2 linked regions of the Tamandua tetradactyla genome follow. The protein of the gene in region 2 binds, or shares a complex with, the protein of the main gene of each other region. Links are inferred from orthologs where the notes say so. Each region holds a gene or a part of one and is shown on either strand. Other genes may lie near its edges.

What was found.
Region 1: the proteins of ORC2 (region 2) and ORC5 are in contact, whole or in part, in a cryo-EM structure (PDB 7JPO), measured with the Homo sapiens proteins. The link is inferred for Tamandua tetradactyla from reciprocal best matches to the Homo sapiens genes ORC2 and ORC5. Residues at the interface, in NP_006181.1 of Homo sapiens: Val240, Glu241, Tyr243, Phe244, Glu245, Ser248, Asp396, Gln398, Arg401, Gly402, Glu403, His426, Asn428, Ala429, Pro430, Leu431, Met432, Trp433, Asp434, His435, Gln438, Trp445; in NP_002544.1 of Homo sapiens: Asp324, Lys325, Phe328, Leu329, Leu359, Asp360, Arg361, Ala364, Tyr367, Ser368, Ala378, Asn379, Phe381, Ser382, Gln383, Thr385, Ser386, Thr389, Asp400, Gln401, Leu402, Asp403, Tyr407.

What each region holds. Positions count from the first base shown.
Region 1 is NC_135327.1:142,471,886-142,475,636, forward strand, and holds the start of ORC5 (origin recognition complex subunit 5), read right to left. Parts: upstream 2,272-3,751; 5' UTR 2,255-2,271; intron 360-2,254; 5' UTR 100-359; coding exon 28-99; intron 1-27. UniProt on the Homo sapiens protein: Component of the origin recognition complex (ORC) that binds origins of replication. DNA-binding is ATP-dependent. The specific DNA sequences that define origins of replication have not been identified yet.
Region 2 is NC_135329.1:175,431,011-175,434,761, forward strand, and holds the start of ORC2 (origin recognition complex subunit 2), read right to left. Parts: upstream 2,770-3,751; 5' UTR 2,553-2,769; intron 1-2,552. UniProt on the Homo sapiens protein: Component of the origin recognition complex (ORC) that binds origins of replication. DNA-binding is ATP-dependent. The specific DNA sequences that define origins of replication have not been identified yet.

The DNA of each region.
Region 1 (3,751 bases), on a different chromosome or scaffold from region 2:
AAGAAAAGACAGTTTTGACCACAATACCTCTCCAAACAGGGACTGCAAGGTGGACACTTGAGACTCGCGACACAGAACCATGTTTTCCAAGTGAGGCATTCTGGTGGACACCACCGGAGTGGACACTACGGCTCCAGTCGAACCCGCGCCAGCAGCGACAGCCTCACCTCAGCCTGGCGGTCCTCACTCCCGCCGGAAATCGGACCCGTTAAGGCGCGGGGAGGCCGGCGCAGCCATGCGTCTGAGTGACGTCAGTGCGTAAGCGGAGAGGCGCGGACACGCCCACCTCTGGCGTCGGAGCTGTTGGGCTTTCGGGTTTCTGGTCAGCGGGCGTGCTTTGAGAAAGGTACTGGGAGACGCTGCAGGAATGGACGAAAGAGAAGGGAGGAAGGAACTAAGCGGACCCTGTAGGTTCCCGAGAACGTGCGAGCCCGTGCATCCGATTTCCTACTTGGAGGTCCGAAATGTAGAACCCCACGAAGGAAGGGAAGGCGGACGGAGTCCATTAGGACTAGGGCGCGGCCGCTGCGGGAAGGTGGACTCGGGATGATCAATATTCTCAAAAGATGGAATTATACTGTCATGGGTGTGGAAAATTGGTTGCGTTCTGTGCAGAAACTAGTGTAATGGGGTTGAATAAATAACTTGGAATTGCCATTCTTCGTGCAAACCTGACACCACATCCAGAAATATCTCACTGCCGAGGAGGGGATGTGTGTGCTGGTGAGGGCGGCAGGGGTAACAGTAATGCCACCTTTCGCATAGGGCTTTCACATGTATGTATTCGTGGAACACCTACTAGAAACAAGACACTAGAAGATTCTGGGAATAGGAAGATATAAGTAGGCCGAATTGCGTGGTGAAAAAAAGACTTGGGAGTCCTGAAACCCCTGATTTGGTACCGCAAACTCAACTGCTTACCAACGTGAGACCTTAGAATAATCACTGAACCATTCATTTTGAACCTCGAATTCCTTATCTATAAAATAGGGATAATAATAACCAGGTCATTGCTAGGATGAAGAATTGTTGTACTTAGTGCTTGGTGTACTTAGATTTAAATTGTACATGTTATAATCAGAATCTTATGTTTGTAATGGCTGAAAGGATCTTTTGTAATTATGGTCTCCTAGAATTATTAGCTAGTCCAAATATATATTTTTGAAGCATCTATTCAAATCCAGTTCCCTAAATATTTTAATAGCTCTGAAGGGTACCCTGGGACGACCCATAAAATCTTACAATGTCTTTTCCTGAGAGAAGCTAGCTTTTACACTCCACTGTCAAACAGTAACCAGCACAATCAAGGGTGCGAGTTTACTGAAAGAGTGCTGGAGCGGAAGATCTGTAACTGGGAAAGTTAGAGTGAAAATCTCAATATGACAAGCAGGTTTTAGCAGCTTATAAAGGTTAGTAGGAGATTTCCAAGTGGGAGGTTACAATAATTGGTTGACACCTTTTTCATCACATGGGAGGGTCTAATAAAGCAGGAAGTAGATATACATTGATTAATATAGCATACGTGTCCATTTTTTTACACTATCCCCATGAGACCAACTAATCATTAAATGTTGCAAAAATTGCAGATTGATTGGGACTATTCCTTTCTCTTGGAAAGTCCCATTCTTTCACAGTTTTTACCCTGCAGTATCTCTCAGAGAGGGCTGCTCAGAGCAACTCCCAATACCTGTGACCATATTATTTTTATTTAAACTATCCTTCCAAGATGGGTTATACATTCTCATAACCCTACAAACTTCTTTATTTGTACTTGTGGCATATTTATGGGAATTAGAGCCTAGCCATCTTTAAAAAGTTAAAAAAAATATTTTTCTTTACATTCTCTCCATACCTGCAGTCTAACTTACTGTCCTCTCCCCCTCTTGTCGTAGACCGCCCATTTCCGTAGCCCACCACAAAACCACAAACCTTTCCTGTTATATTCAAACTCTATCCCTAACCTAACTTCTGCCCAAAGCCTAGTAACTACTTCTAAACTTGTGTGATTGGTTACCCTCCCCTGAGGTCCACGTCTCCACTCCACCCTCCCTTACACTGTATATAATCCGGGGCTCACCAAGCCTCGGGGTCCTTCTTAGATCTTGAGTCCCCGAGCACTTAAGCTCTTGCAATGTAACAATAAAGAAGCTTTGTGCCATCAATTGGTATTCGGCTCAAGTCTTTGGGGCCCTCAGCAGCTTGCTGCTGAGCCTCGGCGCCGCCTTAGATCCCATCCCCGAGCTCGGGTACTCACCCATAGCAGTCAGAGAGTGTCCCCAAGCGGTCGCCTTCCGGGAAGATGACCGCAGTACTAAAAAAAAAAATCATAATATAATTATCTAAAGTGTTAGTCTCCGCCTATAAATACTTTATGAGGACAGGAAACTGCCTTCTTCACAGTTCTATTTACAATGTATACTGTAATGCCTAGCAATTAATAAGCAGTCAATAAATAATTGCTGACCTAGGAAAAAAAAGCTTACTGCCTGGGGAGCTTTAGGGAAGTTTCCCAGGATAAGGAACCTGGAAGCTGAGCCTATAAAAATAGGAGTTCACCTGTGAGACCAAAAAAGAAATACTAAGCAAAACAAAACAAAACAAATAACCAATCCCATAACCAGGACTACAAGTCGTTTTGTAAGAATAAACCTAGAGAGAGACAGGAGGATCAGACTGAGTACAAATGTATGCTGGGAGGATTGTACCCTACCAGGTAGGTAGGCCACAAAGAGCCAATGAAGAGTTTTAAGGCAGTGAAGAAAATGACCTCTTAGAAAAGCTTGGATACAACATGGAAAGTGGAATCAATCTGATTTGTTAAAGAGACTATTGCAAAGTTCCAAACAGTAATGGTAACAGCTTAAACTAAAGCAATGGCAATAGACATGAGAGGGAATGGAAATTAAAGTTCAGTGTTTGATAATGTGGCAGGCACTTACTAGACAGATATATCATTCCATTTAAACATTAGTTGTAGTATAATAGAGATATTATTCTTGTTTTGTAAAAAGAAAAACTAGCTTAAGTAACTTATCCTAAGTCTCACAGACTTGAACATAGGTTTGGGTACTCCAAAGTCCATGATCTTTCCACTACAGCATATGGGAAGGGGCTAAATCAGAGAGATTTAAAAGTACAGTCCAAAAGACTCTGTAGCTGCTTAGAAGAGAGAGAGAATGGTCACTGAGAATAGCATTTAGGTGTTTTTTTTTAATAATCTTTTTTATTTTGAAATGATTTAAACTTACAAGAGAGTTGCCAAATTAATACAAAACCCATGCTAAGAACGCCAACATATATCCCCCACCCACATCTACCAACTTTTAACATTTTATCATATTTGCCAAATCATTCTACCTACCTACCTATCTGTCCATCTGTTTTCTAAACATTTGTGTGTATGTTGTATACATCATGATCCTTGAACTCTTAGTGCTTCCATGTATGTTTCTCCAAAACAAGGATATTCACTTCTGTAACCACCTTAAGTACATTCAGTTATCAAATTCAACAAATTTAGCATTGACATAAAGCTTACAGTCTATATTCCAGTTTTTCCATATATCCCAATAACGTTTTTTGGGGAGCATTTTATCCTTCATTATTAGATCCAGTCCAGGATCATGTTGTGCATTTAGTTGTTATTGCTGCTGTAGTCTCCCTCTTTCCTTCTTTTAAAATTGTGGAAACATATTTGCAAAATGAACTTTTCCATCTCAACCACTCCCAAGCATACAATTCAGTTGAATTA
Region 2 (3,751 bases):
ATAGACTAAGAAGATCAGTATATTAGACTGGTGGGAAAAGGCCAAAATTTAAGTACTTAACTATGTACTAGACAGTTTTGAGTACCCTATGTGTATTCTCATTTAATTCTCACAAGAATTCTACAAAGTTTATACTCTTATATAAAGATAGTACTTATAATTTATATGGCCACTGCCAGTAAAAGCACATGCTTCAGGGCCATTTTTCTAGTCATAATATAGCTTCCTATTACAGGAAATCCTGATATATCAGAGAAAAAGTTTAATGCAGCTACATGTTATTTGTATAAATAAACTAACAAATTCTTTGAAGGGCTGTTTGTCAGGTACTATATCAGGCACTTAGGCATTTTCACATTTACCAACTCATAAAATACAGATTTTTTTGAGGGGGGATTTTATATATATTATATACATGATTTCCACAATTATGGATGAGTAAACTGAATTAGATATTAAATTACTTATCGAAATTTACATGGTTAGGAAGTGTGTTAGGGCCGAGGTTTGACTGATTGCAAAGCCCCTGACTTTATTATACCACACACCTCTCCTGGCCATTAACTAAAAGTCTGCTATTCCAAACAATTGTTTTGACTTCTGGAAACTAATCATAATATGTCCAATCATTTTCCCACATGGCAGGAAATAACCAAAGACCTCTATGGTTTCCCATAAATTCCCTGAGAATTAGGTTAAACATACCTAGTTCTATGAATCTATACAGATTCATAATCTACTGTATTTTTATTTAAACACTGCAGTGTTCGACAAAGGATTTGAGGCAGTGACAATGAAGAAATGCAATAAAACAAATGATAAACTATAATACTGATAGGGAATCTGGGCCAGAGAAAAAACAATGAAAAGAAGAAAATAAAAATCGTACAAGGATTTTTGTCTCTGAGCTTCCTGGGACTCAAAGGAAAATGGAGTAAAGGTCAGTTACATAATTCTCTTTAAGAAAAGCTTAGTAGTTCCTTCCTTGTGTGTGTGTTGGGGGTGAGGTGAGGTTTTGAAGGAAAATTTTAAAGCAAATATTCTAGGCAGTTAAATAATGGTCCTAGGCAGTTTTCTTTTAATAACAATTACCTGGACAGAGGTAACCTAACCCCGTCTTGTTTGTACCTGAATGCATGTATATGTACATTTTCTTATCTAAATGTTAAGGCATTATATTAAACAGTACAGAATCACCAAACTGAAGAAATTTCTACCATCATCAATAGTTCCTGAAAAACACTACCCAACAACAACAAATGCAAATATTAAGTAACCATTTTACTGTCTTGGGAGTTTTCTGAGTTAGGGGGAAAAAATGAATACGCAAGTACAAGATAGTATAGTAGCACCAAGTGAATGGTAGCAGCAAAACATACTCCTTTGGGAGCAAAAGATTTACTACATTAAAAAATATATGTATAGGGCCACGGTGGCTCAGCAGACAGGGTTCTCACCTGCCACGCGGGGGGACCCGGGTTCGTTTCCCAGTGCCTGTCCATGTATATATACTTAAAAAGAAGATGATGCAGACTAGTGGTTAAGCAACAATTTTAACATCAGATAAACCCGGTTCTAATCTCAATTCCACACCTTACAGCTGTGTGATCTTGAACGGAGTTGTGATGATTAAATGAGATCATGTGCCTGGAATAGGAAAGTGCTTAATAAAACGTTTGTTATTATTGGTATTTTTGCTTTAAAATTCAATTTAATCACATATGTTGTACTTCTCTATATCTTGTTCAATATCTAATAACAGAAAATGCGTTCAATAAATAACTGAATTGTGTCCATTTACCGTGTCCAATAACTGAATTTAAGGTTTAGGACTATGCTAGTTTCCTCAGGTTGCAATTTACCTCAGGGATGTTATAACGGTTCCATTAAGAAATTTTAGTCTAATTTGATTTCAACTGTAAAATGAAAAGCAATGCATCAACATCTTTTTAATTTGAAAAATAAAAGCTCTGCCAAAAGATCCTGTTTTATCAACATTTTACAACCATGCATCGCCCAAAAGTGACCGTTCGGTTAGCAGCATTCATTTGGGGCTTCCAGGCTGGGAAGACATAAAAAAATTCTTGCTACAAGTGATAGTTCTGGGATATATGGTCTCTTCCTCCTCATCCTTCATCGTACCCGCTCCTCTCACAGGGCGCTTGCTTACTTTGGTTACAGATTTTCATGTATTCTCCTTTCACAAGCAGGAGACTGCTTAAACCCGGCAACAGGTACCTTGTTATTGGGGGTCCTTTGCACGTAAGGCAAGACAGTTGGAGAGGCAAGACAGAAGAACTAACAGCTTTCTCAGAGGGGACCTCTCACCGCAACAAGTACATAGGGAGACTTGGGCGTGGGCCTCCCGCAGCTCAGCAGCCAGTTGCGCTCCGCTGGGGACCTCGAAGTGGTAGGGGCCGGGCGGCAACCTCGGGAGGGGGGAGCAAGAGGTGCAACGGCCCTACCCCGGCTGCCGAAAATAAGCCCGAAGATGAACGCCACGGACCCGGGTGCCCAAAACGGCCGCTGAGGCTGGGAGCACCTGGACTCACCTCAGGAGCCAAGGGTTAGGAGAAGAGGGAGACAGACTGCCCGGCAGCCCCGCAAAACAACTCGTTGGATGTTGCCAAACTGTGGCGTCTCGGCATGGAAAAAGCGACAGCCCCAGCAGGACGAGCTGAGAAACTCAGAAGGGCCCCGGAGGCGGGCGGGGAATGGGAAGTCCAACCTGCAGCACACCGAATCTCCCGCCCTGCCCAAGGGGCGGTGCCCCGAGCAGCCAGTAAAAAGCGGAGACTGCCGAGAGCGACGGCTCTGTCGACCAGTTGGAGTGTTCCAGTTGACGCTGTTCGTGAAACCTGGGGAAAACGAATCCGCAGGCGCAGGACTCTGGGCCTTTCCTTGCCTATTTCCGTTTCCGGGGAAGGAGTGTTGGTTGTATCTGAGACTATTTGAAAAGTGTAGTCGGCTGAGTGATGGCTCTGTCTTGAGGCAATCGTAGAAATGTTAATTGGCTTCCTAAACATCTTGCTTTTTTCTTTGAAGAAAAAGAAATGGGGACGGATTCACGGTTTGTTTTTTAAACTTTTCATTTGGTGTGAAGGTAGGATCGCGTGCATCTGAAGGATTTGGGATAGAGGGAAGAGACCGCTATCCCTATATAAAAAGAAAATTAGAGCCATTGAACAGACAGAAGAAATAGTTGCAGAAAGAGTTAATGAGGAAGAAAAGGAAAGAACCTTGCTGGGATGCCTTTTTAGCCACTTACAAAATACTGTCTCCTTTGAATTCATTCGTACATTTAGAAAAAAAAAGTCCCCTGCCTATGGGGTGTTGAGGATACAATTTTGAGCAAGACAAATGAGATTTCTGCCCTCACAGTATATCCTATAGGGGAAGAAAGATATTCAACGCACAACACTGAGAAAAATACTATGATATGGAAAGTGACCTGTTCATTGGAGCATGTGGCAGGAGTATCTAATTAAAGGCCAGGAGACAGGAACAATTTCCGTCGAGAAAGCAATGTTTAAACTGAAACTTCAGGCGTGAGTTTCAGTTAACCCCGGCAAAGAGAAGGGGGAAATCTTTCCACGTAGAAGGCCCAAGTTAACATAGGTGCTTAAAGTGCAGAGGGAAGTACCAACAGTTGCATCCTTTATTATGAAGTATTAGTCTGGCCCTGAAGATACTGGTTAAATCTGTATTGAGAGGTCACACTAGATCAAGGAGGTAGAGGTGGAATTGTGAG